Linked DNA regions of Lepisosteus oculatus. The protein of the gene in region 2 binds, or shares a complex with, the protein of the main gene of each other region. Links are inferred from orthologs where the notes say so. Each region holds a gene or a part of one and is shown on either strand. Other genes may lie near its edges.

The links.
Region 1: the proteins of pink1 (region 2) and tomm5 are in contact, whole or in part, in a cryo-EM structure (PDB 9EII), measured with the Homo sapiens proteins. The link is inferred for Lepisosteus oculatus from reciprocal best matches to the Homo sapiens genes PINK1 and TOMM5. Residues at the interface, in NP_115785.1 of Homo sapiens: Gln484, Ala488, Gln491, Ser495, Lys496, Pro498, Val502, Lys520, Leu522, Lys523, Leu524, Met527, Glu565, Cys568, Gln569, Ala571, Leu572, Leu573, Cys575, Ser576, Trp577, Ala579, Ala580; in NP_001001790.1 of Homo sapiens: Met1, Phe2, Arg3, Ile4, Gly6, Leu7, Ala8, Lys10, Leu11, Asp12, Pro13, Glu14, Met16, Lys17, Arg18.

The regions. Positions count from the first base shown.
Region 1 is NC_090696.1:67,263,215-67,273,514, forward strand, and holds tomm5 (mitochondrial import receptor subunit TOM5 homolog), read right to left. Parts: upstream 4,577-10,300; 5' UTR 4,489-4,576; coding exon 4,368-4,488; intron 2,422-4,367; coding exon 2,387-2,421; 3' UTR 1,768-2,386; downstream 1-1,767.
Region 2 is NC_090720.1:10,919,661-10,930,422, reverse strand, and holds the start of pink1 (serine/threonine-protein kinase PINK1, mitochondrial), read right to left. Parts: upstream 3,967-10,762; 5' UTR 3,846-3,966; coding exon 3,486-3,845; intron 1,756-3,485; coding exon 1,474-1,755; intron 1-1,473. Other genes in the region: cdaa (cytidine deaminase a), read right to left, coding at 9,716-9,913. UniProt on the Homo sapiens protein: Serine/threonine-protein kinase which acts as a sensor of mitochondrial damage and protects against mitochondrial dysfunction during cellular stress.

The DNA.
Region 1 (10,300 bases), on a different chromosome or scaffold from region 2:
TATATCAATAAAAATATATATTTTTATGTGAGTAGGCTTACAGTTGATACAACATGACGATCCCCTGATCTACTCTAGGAAACATCAGTCGTGACTTGAAGGCAGTGTGCACCAAGTAAATCTCATCTCACCCATTCCTTGGGGTTCCATCAGAGTTCACATCCACAGGTAGTTTGATCCAGACACACATAACAGCTAGAGAGTAATAACTTCCCTTTATAATAATAATTGCTTACTTTATATAGCACTTTTCTGGACACTCCACTCAAAGCGCTTTCCAGGTAATGGGGATCCCCTCCACCACCACCAATGTGCAGCCCCACCTGGATGATGCAACGGCAGCCATAGTGCACCAGTATACTCACTACACATCAGCTATCAGTGGGGAGGAGGACAGAGTGATGAAGCCAATTCATAGATGGGGATTATTAAGAGGCCATGATTAGTAAGGGCCAATGGGAAATTTGGCCAGGATGCCAGGGTTACACCCCTACTCTTTTCGAGAAACACCCTGGGATTTTTAATGACCACAGAGAGTCAGGATCTAGGTTTTATGTCCGAAGGCAACACCTTTTTACAGTATAGTGTCCCCGTCACTATAATGGGGCATTAGGACCCACACAGACCACAGGGTGAACGCCCCCTGCTGGCCCCACTAACACCTGGATTTCAAGAGCCATTGTTCAGCACCTTTTTCTAAATCTCCAGCTTCTCATGAACAAGGAAAATCATTTTAAGACAATAAAGAGCTCAAATGAGGTAATTTAGGGCTCAGGGGGAAAGAAAAACCAGAAACCATCTGGAACTTCAAGACTGATTCCTCTGCTTGAGGAACACATGCTCAGGAATTACTCAGTGATTTTTAATTAAAACACATAATCCCTGTTCAATCATAACAGACCTAACTAATGGATACTGAGGGTTTTATACAGGTGGCTTTAGTCACCTCCAGTAGAAACACCAGTGCAATGTAATTAGATTAAGTAGTGGTTCCTAGGATTAGCTACAGTTAATCAGCTAAGAGGAACCATGACTCTACCAAAAGTTAAAAACCGAGGGGGCGGAGTGGTGGCTCTGTGGCTAAGGATCTGTGCCTGTGGCTGGAAGGTAACCAGTTCAGTTCCTGTGGCTGGCAGAGGAATCCTACTCTGTTGGGCCCTTGAGCAAGGCCCTTAAACCCAACTGCTCCAGGGGCGCTGTACAATGGCTGATCCTGTGCTCTGACCCCAAGCTTCTCTCTCCCTGTCTCTGTGTCTAATGGAGAACAAGCTGGGGTATGCGAAAAGATGAAATCCAATTGCAAGAAATTGTATAGGGCTAATAAAGTGATTATCTTCCTCTTAAGACCCTTGCAAGGATTGAAAACGGACAATCACCGCCGTTCCGCCGTTGTTTTAACTTGTGGAGTGTTATTGTATGAGATGTTTTCCTTTTGAGATGTGTTTTTTTCCGGAATAAAGTATATTTTATAAGAAAAAAAAAAATCTTCCTCTTAAGAGCAACTCCAGTCTTCTTAAAGTAGAAAAACATCTAATAATAATAATCAGAAGTGATTCTACACAGAGAATCACTGCAATTAAAGAGAAAGTTCAGTAGTACAAATACATTGATATTAAACTCCTCCGCATGTATTGAGAGGGTTTAGATTCTGTGTGTAAAAAATTATGTAATAACTGAGTATTAATAGTTACTTTCACATTTTGGGTGTATTTGTAATATTAAAGGTTGATTCTGAACTAAAGAATTACAACAAATGAACAGCAGCAATCGTAAGAACCATTTTTATTTTGACTTGTGGTGCAGTGAGTGGAATTTAAAATTGCTGCATCAGGCGAGGGCTGGAATCACGTCCCCTTCGCCGTCAGAATCGGCCGACACAAATACTCACACTACACTTCATGGGAATGGCGTTACGGTCAAATAACGCCACCGCGCAGGAGGTTTTAAAACAAACAAAAGCTATCCCAAAGAAAAGGATGCTGGATTCACCCCTCCTTAAAAAAAAAACCCAAATTAAAAAAAAAACTCATGCTGTTCTGTTATATTTCACTCGTACGCGAGATGGGGAAATATTTTTAAAGGGTTACACATCATTGGGTAATTGACCTGTATTAACAAGAATACATAAAATCAGCACACAAGTCCTGCAGTGTTGTGAGAGTTGCACAGTGTTGAGATCCATTCATACACATGATGGGTATCGCAGCCTTTAAACAATGAGGTGACGATAGAGGGCAGAACCAGATGTGTAGCCCAAGCCAAGGACTGAGCAGTCCTGGTGATCTCTGGCAGCATTGCCGACATGTTCCCGGTCCAGCAGAGGCTCCGCGCTGTTGTCTTGAGCTGCCGCAGGGAAAGACCTCCGCAGGCGGGAGAGCGAGACTCTTCAGATGCTATCCAGTTTCTTCAGGACGTAGGGCGCTGGGAAGGCAGAGGGGGATGGGTCAAGGCTAGCACTCGTTTGAAAAACATGGAAAGAGCTGAGGAAAGTTCCTCAGTGTGCAATTCAGAACTGAAACTCACATCATGAGAGTAATCGATTGCCGGCACCCTTCAACAGTCTTCTCACAGCCCACAACGACTGTCAGAAACTGCTGGAGCTACTTATCAGTGTATTGATAATTCCTTACACTTATATAGTGCTTGGCTGGAGACTCCACTCAAAGCGTTTTAAAGGTAATGGGGACCCCTCCACCACCACCAATGTGCAGCATCCACCTTTACTATCAATCGGTGAGATTCGCAAGTCGCAATAAAGCCCAATCCATCATTCAGAAAGACAGCCATCCCAGCCACAAGCTGTTCTCTCCCCTGCCCTCAGGGAATCGGTACCGCACTGTTAAAGCAAGGACCACTAGACTCTAGAACAGCTTCTATCCCACTGCAGTGCGCATCCTCAACAGCTAACTGCAGTACCTTAATACACATCTGCACTACGCAGTTTTTACATAGTCTACCATTTGTTTCTGGTCTCACTAGTACATATTTATTTATTTTTCCACAACATATTTATTGTTCCTATTGCCAACATTGCGTGGTGTGTTGTCTGTTCTACTGTGTATGTCCTGGCAGATCAGCGCGATTAAGAAATCCAATGTACATGCACATATGCCAATAAACTACTCTTGATGATGTGATGGCAGTCATAGTGCACCAACATACACTCACCACACATCAGCTATCAGTGGGGAGGAAAACAGAGTGATGAAGCCAGTTCACAGATGGGGACCATCAGGAAGCCATGATTGGTAAAGGCCAGGGGGAAATTTGGCCAGGACACTGGGGTTGTTACCCCCTACTCATTTCAAGAAACACCCTGGGATTTTTAATGACCACAGAAAGACAGGAGCTCTATTTTACATTTTATCCAAAGGAAAGCACCTTTTTTACAGTACAGTGTCCCCAACACTTCGATTGGGCATTAGGACCCACACAAACCACAGGGTGAGCTTGGTTTTACGTCTCCTCCAAAGAACAGTGACTTTGTTTTCAGCATATTGTCCCCATCACTATACTGCAGCATTAGGACCCACACAGATCGCAGGGTGAGCGCTCCCTACTGGCCCCACTAACACTTCTTCCAGCAGCAACCTCAGCCTTTCCAGGAATCTCCCATCCAGGAAGTACTGGCCAGGCCCACACCTGCTGAGCTTCAGTGGGCTGCCAATTGTGAGCTGCAGGGTGATATATTGGCCAAAAAACTACAACCACTGTTCACTGTCAAACAGTTAACCATTCTAATACGAAACACAAAAATGAGCTTCAACACCATGTGCCACTCTAAAGGCTGGAACAATCTAGTATTGCCAAAGACAATTTAAAATTTGTTAAAACAAGGTTTAATTGAAACCAATCATGTTTAAAGTTTTGCACTTCATTTGGGTGCACAAGACTGTAACAGATTAAGCTTTGAATAAAATCACTATAATATTTTAAACAGGAATGTTATCATAGCGTTATAGACCAGGTGTATGCAGAGATTTCCTAACAAGACACGCCAAGGGCTTTTAAACACTTCCCCCTACTGTCAGGACCTGGAATAAAATGAAGGCGAGAGCTAGTAGCTCTGTAGTTGTTTCCCTACACATAATACGACTACTCTAGAACATAGTTATTCTGGGAAATTAATTAGAATTTTTACCATATGTATCAATTCTTTTCACCTTGAAACGAGAAAAAAATGTTTTTGTTTTAAAGAAAGCGGCGTACTGAACACAAAACTCGCTCTCGTTAAAATATTCAGCAGTTCCGCCCCCGTATATCTCCATCATTTGCAGGATATCTTCTAAAGATGACCAGAAGTGAATGACAAGAACTAAGGCAAGGACACGATGCCTTGAAACCCGACGAGGAGCAATGATACTCACTGACTCTGAGCAACGCTACGTAGATCAGAAAATTCCTCACTGACGTGATCACGTCTTCCCTCATTTTCTTCTTCATCTCCTCGGGGTCCATTTTGGGACCCAGGCCTTCAATTTTAAACATTACGGAGCTTGCAATCAGGCTACACTTGACCACAGCAAACGCACGAATCCTGTCTTTCCGGCAAACGTGCTAGTTTGACCCTCGCCCTCTCTCTGACCTCATCGAGGTTAACACGTGATACGGTGTGCGAGGAAAGACAAACTGCACGGAACGAAACGAGGGCGAATCAGCGCTGTAGAGGAACTTTATGTACAGTGTTTGTGTTACTAATTGTGTTATTAGAATTCAATGCTGTTCATAATTATAGTTTTTATTTTTTATTGTAGGATTCCGATTGGCTTACTCATCCACTTTTTGGAGTCTCAAATAGCATCCTGAAAAAATTGAACAGTATTAGAGGGGAACTACTTCACATGTCGGTTTCTGTAATGCATTATATGTGGAATAGCTAAAGGTTTATTCTATGCAGAAAAGAGAAGAAAACAAACAAAACGTTTCGGCTGTGTTTTTTATACGTTTGCCCAGAAGACAAAGTTTCCCCAGAATTTTGATATCTTTTTCGTTTCCAGTATAGCACTAAACTAAACAATTTGAACTTAATATTTAAAAGGGAATTCTACAAATATATTATTAATAGGACAAAACAGTGGTTCCCCACAGTGCTGGAGCACTGGGGTCAAATCCAGATCTACTTGAAGTTTGTATGTTTGTCCCATGTTTGCGTGGGTTTCCTCCAACAGGGCAAAAATATACTATTAGGTCAATTAGCCTCTGTGAAAACTGACCCATGTGTGAGTGTATACATGTGTACTGTGTGATGATGTAGTGTCCTGTCCAGGAAGTATCCTGCCTAGTCCCCACTGTACAGGATCACTTTGTATACTGGCTTCAGTCAGAGGCATTAAAAAGCTGAAAAAAAAAAAACACAACCATTGTGTTTAATGTGTTGGAAACGCACCTGATATGACCTGTCCTTGCCAAACAGATCGACGAGATCTCTTCCACCGTGCCTGCTGGAGTGGAATACATTGGCACCAGGTCGGCGGACAGATCTGGTTTTGTCAGTCCACACTGAAACTGATATAGTGGGACCATGATACCCCTGGGGTGTCCATAAGAGCAAAAAGATAAGAGAAGAAAAAAAAATAAACTCGGGGACATGACACCACAAGCTTGGAAAAGCCATTACCTCCCAGTAACTGTCCTCTGCCTCCGCTCAGTCCTGACTGTGTGGTTGGTGGATGCTGAGAAACACGTTTCTGTTGATCCCAAGCTAACTGTTATCTGCTAGCGGCAACACACACACTCCTCTGGCAATTAGGAGCTTTGCTGAAAGGCCCTAATTAAGTTCATCAGCACTCTAGGGAAATGAGCTGTAACGTAAAACATTAAGGAAAAGAGCTTGTTCCCGCCTTTTCTGATGGGTTCGGTAAAACCCTAAAGCTGCAGTTCCAGTAACCGATGGCCATACGAGGATGAAAGGGAGGATTGCAGGGTATTGTTGATTGCTTTGCCCGTGCAAAAAATGGAGTTACCTTTGGTGCTAAAAAGCTCTGACAGTTCTCCTGTGTGTCCCACTGCAAAACAGGGGAGTAAAGTGCTCTTTGCTAGAATACCAGCAGCTATATCCTCCTGCAGTAAACAACCTGCAACCAGGTTGGTCAGTACCAACTGGTCAGTACCTGGATGGGAGACCTCCTGGGAAAGCTAGGGTTGCTGCTGGAAGAGGTGTTAGCGGGACCAGTAGGGAGCGCTCACCCTGCGATTGTCACGATATTAGCCCCCCCTCCTTAAGGGTGCTCCAGCCCTTTCACTCAAGACTTTATTCTATGCACCTGCTCCCTATTCCCAGCCCACCTTAAAAGCCAGGCGCTGACGCTCATCCGGGCTCTGCATCTGATTTCCATATCGTGCGAGTCCGGGACCTGGAAGCGCCTGGTCCCGTTAAGGTTTTAACCTCTGTTCCCCGTCCGCCGGTTCCGACCCGGCCTTCGTGTTTTTAATTCTTTGTTCTGCTGGATCTCCTGGTTTTGGACTTTCTCGTGTGTTTTGGATATTCCCTAAGGACTTCTCTTTTGGATTGTTCGCCTCGGCCACACCTCCCCCGTGCACCAGCGCACCTTGGACACGCCCCCTTGTCTTCAGCCCCGTTTTCCTGCATGACGTTTCCCTAGTGTTTCCCCACTCCGTCGGACTGTGTCGTCCGCATAGGGTCCGGAAAGAACTGTTCATTACAGCGATCTGTGTGGGTCCTAATGGCGCAGTATAGTGATGGGGACAATATGCTGAAAAAAAAGTCACTGTTCTTTGGATGAGACGTAAAACCGAGCTTCTGAGTCCCCGTGGTCATTAAAAATCCCAGGGCATTTCTCACAAAGAGGGAAACCATTTGATACTGTCTCTCAGCTGTCAACAATGTGTTGAATTGTACAGAATGCTTTCCATTCCAAAGGATCCCAGAGTGGCCTTTGGTTTCCTCCTTAATTTTCGGACTGTGTGCCCTTCCTGACTCTCCAGAGTGAAATCCAGCAGGGATGGGTCTTGCCTGCTGGAAAGGAAGAAATCTTCTTTTCTGTTTTCAGACTCAGCGGGAAATGCATACCATGACCTCCAGAAGTGGGCTATGTGCCTGATTTGCACTCCTGTTCCCCATGCTGCGGTGCTGTGTTTTGTTTTTACAAAACTCAAGTTACCTACATGTTTGGATGTGCACAGAAACATTTTCAGACCCTTCTGGCTTCACAGACCGATTCTCAACTAATCCAGATCGGACATATGCCAGGTGACCTTTCAATCAAAAGTCTTGAACCTTACATTGCAAATCCGGGGTAGTGATCCACACCTTAACAAAATAATTGCTAGTTTCAGCTGCAAGGGCCGATGAAGGTTGAGAGAAGGTACTATTTGTTAATATGAGCTTTAAAACCAAAACAGGAGAAAGAGATAGGAGGACTTCAATCCTGTCCAGACTGACGCAAAAACGCAAGCAACTCGGGAAATCATGGAAAAACAATTATCTAACCATCTTGTATTTCTGCTTCAGCTCACGTTCTGGGGAGATTCAAGTTCAGGTGACCTTGAGTTGGCTGAACAGGAAAACAAGACATCAGCGATCCGCTTCTCGGGAGTTTTGTGAGCTCAGGTTTCAATCAATTACAGATTGTTTAAATTTATTTTAAAGAGCACCTTTTGGTGGTGAGCATTTCACACAATGTGCTACAATAAAAGCACAGTCTGAACAGTAACACAGAAGAAAAATACAGTACAAACATGTATTGGTGTACTGATGTAACGTCACATACTTGTGGTAATTTGCAGCAGACTACAAATTCGTTTATATGGAACAACATTTGAAAATGCTAGCATTTTCACAATGCTTTTACACTGAAAAGGAGAGAAAAATGAACACATCGTATATCATGAATGATAAGACAACATTAATGATGCAAAAGAGACTGAGGTCCAGTACCCACAATGTTATAACAATGTAAATGTGAAGGGAGAGTGTTCAGTTTATTTTTAGGAAAGGACAGCCTCCTCTATCAGGTCCTCTTTAGGAAGATCCAGAACAAGACTGCACTGTTTCAGCAGAGGACAGAGGTAGTCAGTACTGGGGTTGTGGAAGGGTAAAAAAATAGGAGGAGACACAAGACTGTGATTCAAAACTCAGTGGGAAGCAGTAGTACAGGGGCCAAAAGTGGAGCTATATGCAGCACAACACAACCTTATTAGGAGGTCTCAACCCTCCTGAAAAGCACAGTTCTGTAGATATCGTTGTAAAAGCCCCAAGCTGTCTACCAGCATGGGTAGCTAGCCATGTTGGATGAAAATGTCATAACCTGTAGCTTTGATATCTTAGTCCAATTACGCACACACGCTTGTCAAGAACATGGGCGCTTGCAAAGCGTTTTGGAACAGGTAAATTCGTAACCATAAAGTGAACATATACCTTCAGGTCATTGAGCGTGAAAGATTAAATTATAGCGTTATCGTGAGAAACAATTCGAGTTCTTGTAATCATCTCGAAAACTGGTTTAGTAGGCAGGGAGTACATTTTAGAAAATACTATTTTAATAACAAGTACAACTGTAAACGAGTTTAGCGTATGCGTATATTAGTACATAAAATTGATATGTAAACATTTGTAAAAAATATTTTACCACTCTCCTCTGAGGAAAATGTTTTTTTCTGAAAGGTAACCACACTTTTCTGCCTCTCAACTATGAAAATATTGCATTAGTTAAAAATTGGAAAGAAGATACTTTGTGATACCAGACGTTACAGTATTTAAATTGATTTAATTTTGAAATCATTTAAAAATATATAGTACTGATGTAGTAACGACGTTCACAACTGGTTTATTCAAAGTAAGAAAAAAGTATTTTGTGGAACTGGGTAAGCAAACCCCGCTGAGAAATTAGGAGTAAAAATTGGATTTCGTTACTTTCCCAACTGGAGCCATCATCAGTAACAAAAATACAAACCGATTCTTCCTTGCATATAACTGTAATTTATCTGGTCGAAAGGCTTTAAAAACAAGCCCAAGCAACACCAATAGCAAGAATAACGATATTCGTACATTTTAGAGTGTAGTATTAATAACGGGAGTGTAACTAATAATCATTCTAATACCAATAAACTATACTGCCCCCAATTCGGTTGCTTCTTTGGCAGAATAGAACTAGTTGAAAATTGTGGATGTCCAGGGAGACCAGGAGATGGCGAACTGCCCCCACGCAAAACTACGAAATACAGCCAGGGCATAGATGATCGTCTATCCGAAACTCAAATTGACCCAGGTTTGTTTGCTCGTATAAAACTCCAAAACGCGCTCTTACTTTGCTTCTAAATGACACGCCGTATCCTAAGGTATATTTCAACTTAAAACACGGTCTGTTCTTCGTTCCCTGGCTGAACCCAGTTGAAGCGTCTGTTGCCATTGCTGCGCAGTATACAAGGATAACCTTGGCATATCTGCCAGTCAGTCAGCAATACGCGAAAGAGGTCTCCTGAGAGATGCGTCAGTATCGCAGATTTATAACTAACCATTACTGTGGTGCTCGCTGCAAAGTTTATTACGACCGATTGCAAAGGAGTTGTCGTGCCTTTTGGATGAATCTGAGCTGTAATCTTATGGTGGTCTCGCTTGCTCACAGCTCGGATTTATGGCACGTTTTGAAAGGGAGAGAGAGAACAATGAGTGACTGACCCGAGGAGATTAGAGAGAGAGGAGAGCCGCTAAGAGCCGTGCATTAGACAGCATCCAAACCCTTCCTCACTCACCCGGCTACTACAGACAGGCAATCCGTCTCCCTTCAGCACAGGGGCAGATAGATAGATCCAGCGCTCCGCACACATGAGGTGAGTCGCTCGTTTTTTTTATTATCCAGATCCAATTGGTAAGTTTTCCCTGATTGTAACGGCCGTAACATCTTTGAACTGCAAATAAAATTAAGGACTTGAGCAGTCAGATATTTAAATCGGATTAACAAGGGAGGAGAGAGCCCAACAACGATACAAACCTCTCCGGTTCGCCAGCGTGGTTGGTTTTCAGCTACCGTATCAGCCAAATTAATTTGTTCTTATTTGAGATATACTTTTTTAGCTGTCGTACTTCACAATAATTGCGAGTATAGTTTTCTAAAACAAAATCCATTCTTTTTAACAGTTGAGGAGAAACTGAATTGCCGAGAAATATCCTTGTATACAGGAATAAAACAGAATTTGTCTTGTTATAAATGCAATGAAATACATGTCTCTTATCGATAAGCCTACAGATGAGTGCGTTTTTGCGGTGCTTCAAATGGAAAGAATACCGCAGAGTCTACATACTATCATTAATTATTTATACTTAACAATGATTCGTAGTTAA
Region 2 (10,762 bases):
TATTAACTTTTGAATAAAACCAGAGCTGTACCTAAATGAAGCCCAATATATTGCACTGAGGCTTCACTGGTTAACAAAGGAATGAACTTACACACTGCTGGTGCAACCAAATAAATTCAGATTCACTACTAATGTATTTAATCACAAAACACGTTTTGGCTGAATAATATTTAATGTGTTTAACAATAAACTTCTACTCTAAAAACACACTGGAAAATAGATCTGAAAATACAACCAGGGAAATAAAAATCAATATACAGCATTACAGATCACCATGTTGTTAAAACAGTGCTTACAATTGATTTATTTCTCATTTTAAACAGTTGTGATGAGTTTGTTTAAATGCATGTAAGGTATGTGCCCAGTGTAAATATATTTAAGACATCCAGTTACATTCAGTTCACTAAAGCAGTTTCGGTCTTTCCTTATATGTACAGTCTGCCACTGGAAGTGGCTGGACTAGAGAAATGCCAGTTCCAATTAGACCAGGGTTCGGAGGAAAGGTTTTCTTTATGAGATCAGAGATTAGTCTCATTGTCTACTATATGCCAGATTGATTCAATTGCTATGTTTGAAAATTGTCAAAACGTGAACATCCCCTCATCTTCTAACCACTTTATCCAGAAAGGGGTGGTGGGCAAGTTGGAGCCTATCCCAGTAAGCAACAGGCGCAAGGCAGGGCACACAGACAGAAACACACACACCAGGACTAATTTTTCCAGAAGCCAATTAACCTGTCAGCATGTCTTTTGACTGTGGGTGGAAACCAGAGAACCCCTTGAAAACCCATGCCAACATGGGGAAAACATAAAAAACTCCACACAGACAGAAGCCCCAGATTCGGAACCGAACCCAGAGCCCCTGCGCCACGAGGCAGCAATGCTGACCACTGCGCCACAGTGCTGCCCCAAAATGTGAACGATGAGAAGCAAAGATTCGAACATGACAAACACGTGGAGGTGTATAGGACTACGTTACTTAGAAACTTGCTATTTGTTGTTTACCAAAGCAAATGTTTACACCACAGGTGGGACTCTCAGTAGGCACATTCAAAATGTGCAACTTCATTTTCACGGCTTTTACCGGTTTCTGCACAACTTGATACACAACCTGATGTGTCACGGATGTCGGAAAGGACAAACCGTGGAATGACAGGAGAGCGAAACAGACCCTGTGCATAGCGGCGAGATGGGGGTTAGCCCGGGCTCAGCTGTTCAGGAAATGCGTTTTGGCTGAAGAGAGACCTATGCCCTCAGTTAGCAGCGTGGGGCGACCTGGTGCTAGGTGGGTCTGAGGACATCCGAATGTCAATGCTGAGCAAAGGCAAATGAAAGACCCAGAAATATATAGCCCCAGAGAGAGAGAGAGAGACAGCAAAGCACCGGAAACAACAGACAGGACAAACTAGGAGCGCCCTCTGGCTGCAGAGGGCGTGACATGATGTCTATATAGCTATGTTTTTATTCCACCTACCCCGATATTCCACATCATCTTCACTGCCAGGGGGTACTCAGCTGTGGCACGGCACTGGAGAGACAGTGAGTCTTCCTGCCTCACTTCTCCGGATGGATCCGGCACCACCAGGGAGCACTGCCCAGCCCGTCTCGGAACAGCGAAAGGAGTTGTAGCCTCATACACAGCAGCATTGCAGCCCTTCCCAACCTGCCTCCCAAACACGTAGTCTTCCAGCCTGTAGCCCGAGGAGAAGGACTTGAGTGGGCTTTGCAGCGCCGTCTTCTTCTGGGCAAACAAGGCCTTGGGAATTAAAAAAAAAATACATAGTTCACTATTAATAAACCTTAACTACCATTCCTTTTAAAATACATAGAATCTGTTCACTGCGTATATAAAATCACAAAAATCACCACTCCATTAGTTTTTCACACTCAAGGCGGACTTGTGCTGGGGAAATTGTCATCTTGACTAACACCTCTGAAATTCTTAATTCAATTCTATAGGTAACATCAAGTGAAGCTTGTAAAATTTCAACAAAAATAGGTGACTATATAACCAGAACTTACAGCACATAGCACTGAACCAGATATTAAAGTTTGCATTAAGAATTAAAGAAATTAAAATATACCATTGCTATATATTGCTATACTGTACATTGGAATGGCATACACTCATCCTGCCAACTATAAGGTATATATATGCTTGCTCACTACATGAAGAGCCGCTCTACGTACAGTAGCACATTATGTAGTCAACAGTTCTGTGGTGGAATGATAAGCACTCTGGACTCTGAATCCAGTGATACAAATTCAAATCTCGGTGGAACCCGAGCCGCAGATTCATGCCAGCAGCCATTTCACCCTGCAACTCACACCTGGCAAACCCACTGAAGCTCAGCAGGTGTGAGCCTGGTCAGTACCTGGATGGGAGACCTCCTAGGAAAAACTACAGTTGCTGCTGGAAGACGTGTTAGTGGGGCCAGCAGGGGGAGCTCAACCTGCAGTTTGTGTGGATCCTATTACCCCGGTATAGTGACGGGGACACTATACTGTAAAAAGGCGCCGTCCTTCGGATGAGACGTTAAACCGAGGTCCTGACTCTCTGTGGTCATTAAAAATCCCAGGGCCTTTACCAATCATGACCTCCTAATAATCCCCATCTCTGAACTGGCTTCATCACTCTGTTCTCCTCCACTCTGAGAGCTGGTGTGTGTGGGGGGGTGTACTGGCACACCCTGGCTGCTGTCACATCATCCACCACACTGGTGGTGGTGGTGGTGTAGGGGAGTCCCCATTACCTGTAAAGAGCTTTGAGTGGAGTGTCCAGAAAAAACACTATACAAGTGTAAGGAATTATTTTTTATTATTATTCAGCACAAAACAAGTGATTTACAGACAATGAAATCCAAACTGGAGAACCCAATTAAAACTGAGAACAGGAGGCACTTCTGTACCTAAAGAATGGTGGGAGCATGTAACAAACCACACACCATGCTGTTAAGCCAACATGCTGGCCTCTTTAAAGCCAGGGTCTGGGTGAGATACCTGTATCACCTAGGTCCTCACTAGCACTTGTAGTTGTTCCTGCAGCCTTTTAGTACCATTCCTCACAATATTTTTTCCAGCTGTTAGTTCTTTCCAGATTTTAGTTCTTCTGGATACAAGCTAATTTGCATAAATGCGTCTACTGAGTAAATATCGAGTGGCCCTCCCAGTCAAACCAGTGTAGTGCAACTTGACACCTGCGGCACCTGTCACCTGTCAACCGATCAGCGACGTGAAGATTAAACAGCAGACCTAGCAAAGCAACGACGGTCCATCTTAAATGTGGGTTTCGGTTTAAGGGCAGCTTTAAAATCTCGTGTCTTAAAAGCTTCCTGGAGGTTCTTGGCCGTCACCATATTAGAATACGAGTCCCTATTTGACAATAATGCTTAGTACTTAACGCGGTGCAGCTTAAACTTGGCTTTGCACAAGCTTTTGTCATCTTACACAGCCCATATAAACTTGTTTCTCCAACCCGGGCTGTACCTGAATTTCTCGGCATGTCGCCGTGTCCCTTCTGTCCTCCTCCAGCTGCTGCTCGATGAGCCCGAGGCCCAGCCCGAAAGCCAGAAACACCGCTCTGGTCCTGGGGGATCCGGCGCCTCCTGGAAGCCGGCCGAGTCTCCGGCGCTGCAGCTGGGCAGCAAGGCCGCTCAGCGACACTCGGAAATAGCGGTAACGAGCAGGCAGGAAAGTCTGAGGCTGGACGGTACGGACCGGCGGGCCCAGACGGACACGGCCGCTTCTGAACTTCGCAGCGACCCGGGCAGCCGGTTTCAGGAGACCCTGCTGAAACACCGACCGGCCCAGCTCCAGCCCACGAGCAATGACGAGCTTCACCGACATGGTCGGCTGTTAAAGCCCCCTTCTTGCCTAAAACGTGTGACCACCTTTCTCCCTCACACCTCCTCCAAACGTCCCAGCACAACCGTGATAAACAAGGGGGTCACGTGATGTAAACATGCCAGCAGACATGCGGAAGTCGTCACAGACCGGATGTGCGAGAAACTCAACCGGAAAAACGTTATCAGGTCGCGCAGCCCCCTACTTAATGCCTCCTCTGTGTATAGTATATCCTGCAAAAGCGGTCTGAGAACAAGGTTCGCATTCAAAATTGTTTATAGTGTTTATCAATTAAACGGACATTTTTTCAATTCATATAACGAGTTAGAGTTATGCGTGTTCTGTGATGCTGGGAAAGAAACGCTGACACATTTGTTACGTATATATATATAGTGTTCTGGATAGAATTGGAAAAAATACCTTTAATTTTATCTTCAGTATGAAAGTTATACTTAAGCAGTTTCATGTTATATGTTGCAATATTTTCCCCGTAAAATGGAAAATGAATTTGTATTAATGGATTGAATCTTTTATTAATAATGGGTCGTCTAGCTCCGGACCGGGAGGTCCTGGGTTCAGTCCCAGGTGGGGGCAAGTGATGTAGCTTTTTTCATAATTCCACTCAGCTCCCAGGTCCACTCCAGGTCCACTCCGCCTGCTTTCCAAATGAGTACTGGAGGTAATAGGCCAGCCAGAGCGTGATGCTGACATCACCTCCACCTCCAGTGTCAGATGGTTGAGAAAAATGATGGCTCTTGCCCACCCCCCCTTCCCCATGGGTCTTGATGGCCTGAAAAGGGGACCTAACCTACCTTTTAATAATGAGTGGATATCACATCCACAAAACTCAGCAGTCATATCCTGCAACTCACAACTGGCAACCCACTGAAGCTCAGCAGGTGTAAGCCTGGTCAGTACCTGGATGGGAGACCTCCTGGGAAAGCTGAGGTGTTAGTGGGGCCAGCAGGGGGTGCTTACCCTGAGGTCTATGTGGGTTCTAATGCCCTCAGTATAGGTCCTGACTCTCTGTGGTCATTAAAAATCCCAGGGCGTTTCTCGAAAAGAGTAGGGGTGTACTCGTCCTGGCCAAATTTCCCATTGGCCCTTACCAATTATGGACTCCTAATAATCCCCATCTCTGAACTGGCTTCATCACTCTGTTCTCCTCCCCACTGAGAGCTGGTGTATGGTGAGCGAACTGGTGCACTATGGCTGCCGTCGCATCATCCAGGTGGGGCTGCACACTGGTGGGGGTGGAGGGGATCCCCATTACCTGTAAAAATATTTGAGTGGAGTATCCAGAAAAGCACTACATAAGTGTAAGCAATTATTATTAATTAAAACAGAACTGTCCAGTGCTACTCCCTCATTTAGTGTATATAAGGTGTAAATGCAATACTACTTAAACTCCATTACAAGCATGACAAATAACAAAGCAAAAATCACAATTAATAAAACTTGATGTATACAGATTTGTTATTATTTCTGGCAAGATACTGTTCTTAGTCCCTTTTGTTCGCTTTTCCGTTGTGGATACTGTTTCTCCGTTATTTGTATTATTTTATGTTCTATAAAACCTGATAAAAATCTGCACAACGTGCACAAATGCCGAAGAGCTGCAGCACTGAAGCCCGGATTCTGCCCAACCAATGAGCGGAAGCGGCCCAAGACAGATGCAGTAACGGGCTCGCATCCTAATCGCTCCTCCTAGCGCCACCTAGGCCAGCAGGTGTGAAGCGCCTGTTAGTTACGCCGCCGATGGTCTTCCAAATCATCTTCCTTGTATGCAGTCGTCGTAAATTGTATTTACAAAGAATGTACTGTACATTTGTCATCTATCCACACATTGTGTAAGCGGGTGTGCACAATTTAAATTATACGTCATTCTAGCCCTTAAGTGCTGTTGATACGCAGTCAGCACAGAAATGCCTATTTATATAAAAATAAATGCCTACTAATGTTATGTTGTTGTGAAGCTACATAACCATATGAGTCGATGAATTATCCGCTGACGAGAGCCAGTGTTAAAGGGTTTATTTAGGGACATGTGTGCTGTGCACCAATGCAAGCGACAGATCATCTGATGGATAGCACAGAATTCGTGTTCACAAAACCAAGGAAGCGGACAGATTTGAATCTGGCAAGAAATGTTAATAATGGCACAATGCTGGCACGTTCCTCTCAAGACTACGTTTGAAATGGTCATTTTACGAGTTAAAGCTTGTTGGTATCCGGTCACGGTTAGAGGTCACGCAGCATTAATTGCGCCAATAACACCGGCTGGAAAGAATTGCCCACCTGTGAGAATCGGCCACCGGCTAATCGCTGTGACGAGTCCCGCAGTGCACAAGCTCAAAAGACGATTAATAACCAACTACATGAGATCAGAAACAACAGTAGTCTCCGCATAAAATCTTTTTAATGAAACATTTTTACAGTTTTAAATGTAAATATTTCACGTTTAAAGCTGGTATTTTATGCACAATTGCTACAAAATTTTTAAAAAGTATTTTATGCTTGAAAAGTATATTTACACAACTTTCAAAAGAATATACTGTGCGGTGAACCTGAGAACGCTACAATACCTACTATTAATTATTTGGCCTAATGCAAGTTATTTAGATGTGTCTCTTAAAAGTGAATGAGCTGATTAAAGGGAAATCTGCATTTCTTACATTTCCAAACGCGTAACTGCAGAAGCTCTCTCATATATCGAAATCTCCTGTACTGATGTCGAGCGAATTATTTTTGCTGGAAGATTAGACAGGTCACCAGCTGCAACGCAATACACAATGCTGCCAGGCAGGAGCACAACTGAAAACAAGCAGCTGAAATATCAATCTTTAACTGTTTGATGACCACTTCGAAACGAAGGCGGCATGAGATTTGCTCTAGTAATCAAAATGAAAGAGCTTCTTCGTGTATTTATGTTCTATAAACGGGCGCTGGTTATCATCGCTGTCTCGCAGCGCGGAGCTTGTATTTTCTCCCCGCGTTCGTGGGAGTTTCCTTCGGGAGCTGCCGGTTCTTCCCACAGTCCACACACATGCTTGTAGGTTAATCGGCGTGTGTGTGTGTCCTGTCGGGACAGGCTCTATCTCCCCCGCGACCCTGAACCGCAAGAAGCGGCGCCATGGAGCTGGGGTGGGTGTTTTAGATACAGTATGAGCTGGTAAATCCAAATCAATTGTAGAAAATTGGTAAATATTCGAGGCCTTTCCGCTATAGCAGTGTACTCGGAAAGAGCGTAGCGCCCTCGCCGCTGCCGCCTCAGCTCGGCCCACCCACCATCGGGCACTCGAACCCAGGCCTCCGGTGTCGCTCAACCGGGACCTAGCCAGTTAAGCTAAAGGGAAATCTCCCGTCAGCCCGACGGCTAAGGTCCCTGCTATCCACAGGGAAAGGGCGGTGACGTCACCGCGCTGCTAAGCCGACTCGCACAACTTGCAATGGCAAAACATGATATATGTAAAATATACAATTTGATCACATCATAACGTAATTACCTCTGGTAGTTCAATGCTTTTTTTCTGCTGAGTTTCTTTTTTCTCTTGTACATGATTCTGAACCTCTTGTTGTATTTGTATCTGTAAATTCTATACGTTTAATAAAAAATTAAACCGCAAAAAAACAACAACTTGCAATGGCGTTACAATAGTAGAGAAAGTTTAGAATGGTTTGGGGTTATACTGTAGTTGAATTGAAAAAACTGTGGACAGCCTAGGGGCGGTTTTGGGGTGTGATTCGAGAATGTAATGTTGATCACTATGTCATCTTTTCCTGCAGGAAATGTGGTAAACTAGTGCCAGGTAAAGAATATGACAATCCATTCTGAGTTTTCTGTTTCCTATTGCACATCGTACGGAGTCTTTACATACCATGCATTGCATGGTAAGTTCGATTTGAAAGCAATGGCACTAACTGGGCTAACAAAAAGTGGCAAGACGTGTGGAATAATAACAACCACAGACTGAAACAACTTATTGACAAAATATCCAACAAACCTGCTGGAAATGACCTACCCAGAACAAGCCTGGGTCAAGCTGAACCAACTAAGAACCGGACATGGCCGTTTCCGGGCCACCCTACACAAGTGGGGTCTCACTGATGACCCAACTTGCGAATGCGGCGATGGCGAGGAGCAGACGGCCGACCACATCCTATACTCCTGCCCTCGCTTCAGATGCCCCGGCAACTTTATCGATTTGGATGATGCCAGCCGCGACTGGCTGAGGCACCTGACTGTGACAATATAACTATGTAACTTCTGCATGTTAAGCTCATATGAATATATATACATACCATGCAAAAGAAAAGAATGATGACACAGGCCCTTTAACTGTATTTACATACCCACAGCATAGCAATATAAAGTAAGGGGCCTGAGATGATATATTGAATTCCGATTGAAAATCTTTTTCCGCACATTTTAGAAGGTGCGCTGTGTTTACTTGTATTTAAATGTCTCCGTCATGTATCGACATATATGTGAACTAGTTCAAGCTCAAATATGTGTGAACGGCACTGTACAGTATTCGTGGAAGGCAGGTCGTTGAAGGGACTGTATTGACAACTAGTCTGCCACCAGAGGCCGCCAAAGAGTCTCTCACTAGGCTCTCTCAATAGGTTCACCAGTGTTGGTGGTGGTTGGGTTTAGAGAAGCAGAAAGGGTGGGTTACTCATGTGTAAGAAGGATTTACTCTTCAGTGCTTACTTCCATCACAAGTTTGCTCAGCACCTGGAGCCACCTTGACTAATGGTGGTCTGCCACAGTATTATTAGTTAATACATCAAAAATCAAAATGTTTGAAATATATCTCACCTCCTTTCAAAAGGATGTCACTATAGGTCCAGATATGTTTGTAACACTGCCATATAACTAAAACTGTGTCACTCAGGTCATGAGCTCGACTTGAGCAAATCAAACTTTGCATACAATTTGCAATATACAAAATACATTTTATTGCATAACACTACATACTCGTTATATTACAAAATGTATTCCTGTGAGGTAAGCAGTGCACAAGGCAGGACAGGAACCTACTGCCATCAAACGTATTGAACAGTAAATGTGCACATGGCTCAAGAGTAAAATTTGAATTACAAAATGGTTTCCTGAACCAAACTGTTACGTAAATTGAGGGTTTGTATGTCATGTCATGATATATTACTTTACAGATAATTTTGTGCTGTTCCTCTGTAGTAGTCAACTGAGTCATCAGCTGCTTGAGTTTCCTCTGACAACTCGCTGAAAACACATCTGTTCTTTCTCCGGTTCAGTTAACTCACTGCTGTTGAAATGGTCATTGTGACATTTGTTCCCACCACCGGAACTTTTAAGTGCTCTATTCATCACATTTTGTAACTTTTAGAGAAAAATTGGCTTACCTGTTACTGACCTCAACTAGATTTATAACATTTTCTAAATACTACAAATTCTGATTGCCTTTTTGTGTCCTGCAGCTGCATATTAAAAACCAGCTCTAGGGTCCTTACGTAGCATAATTACTTTTTTTTATTATCTTCCAATTTGTATTGTGCATTCCTTAATGGTGTAGGGCAAAATTACCATGTAAAGGAGTTTGAGAGGGTACTGTCCGAACAAAAAGACAATCAAATGTCAAAGACTGATTCACTGATAAGCATGTACCAAGTGCTGTGTGTAGCTGACACCCCGAACTTAAAATTCTCCATAACCTGAACAACAGTGTTACTTCACTCCAGTAATTGCCTGCACTCCATGCTCCGCCAAAGAATTACAGAGCAAATGCAAGTCATCATGTTCCTCATTTGGAAGGAACATTCTCAAAAACATGCAGCAATTCCTATAAATACTTGGGAGCACAAACACCTACTGGCATCACTGCACAATGCTAATTATTATTTTCCCCAGCCTCACAAGGTGAATGAGTGTAGAACTGCGTCGACACTTCATGTCCATTTTGTAGGGAGAAAACCTTCTTTTTCTTGAGGTCATCAGGCCCAAAAGACATGGGCAGCAGCTCATCCACGGTCATCCGTACGTATGATCCATCCACCTTCGTCAGGAACACATCCCAGCCTGTGCCAAACTGCAAAACAAATCGGATCTATAAGTATCTGAAAACAGAGCAAGAGCACAATGTGCATGAATATGAGTGTACCGTATACACCATTTTATGGGATACATTCATAATTAGGTTTGAAAAATGTACAATGTTAGGAAGGAGGAGAGTCTTCTGTGTCTGCTTTGTAAATGTTTAAAGTGAGCAGCCACACAACCACTGCCTGCTTTGATTGCTTACTTTATGGCTGCTTACTTTGCAAAAGCAAAAGCAGGTGTTACTTTATATTGTTCTCCTTCCTGTGACCACTGTGAAAAAGTTAGAACTAATTATTTAGTATTTAAAAGCTGCATGATTTCTAGTGACCTCTGATCTTAAAAACACCATAGCCCTGACCAGTGTTTGTACTGCGTACTGTAGGTATAATAACACGCATGCCTGTGTGCATTGGCATTGTAGGATTATCTAGGCTGCAAGATTTCTGTCTGCAATAAGCAGAGGATCCTTGTGAACTCCAGAGGGAGGATGAAGCACGATGTTGCCGAGTGGGCCCTGTACAGAAACTAAGAAGGAAAACCCTGTTCCTTTGAGCTCCTGCAGAGGACTGGATGACCGCGGTTTCAGAGCCGGGACAGGGGAAGGGCCTGGACAACAGCAAGGGGTAGGGCTTGGAGGGAATCTTTGAATCTTTCATTCTGCAGATCCAGCTCCCACATCCACTTGCTCTGATTCATAAAGGACAATCACCCTTTTTGAGAACTCTTGTAATATTTTGTAGAGATGACATGACTTTGCATGAGTGTGTACGTGTTGTGAGATGTCAAAATCTGTCTACAGCAAGCAGCATACACAGTACTATTTAACCCTCATGGAAGG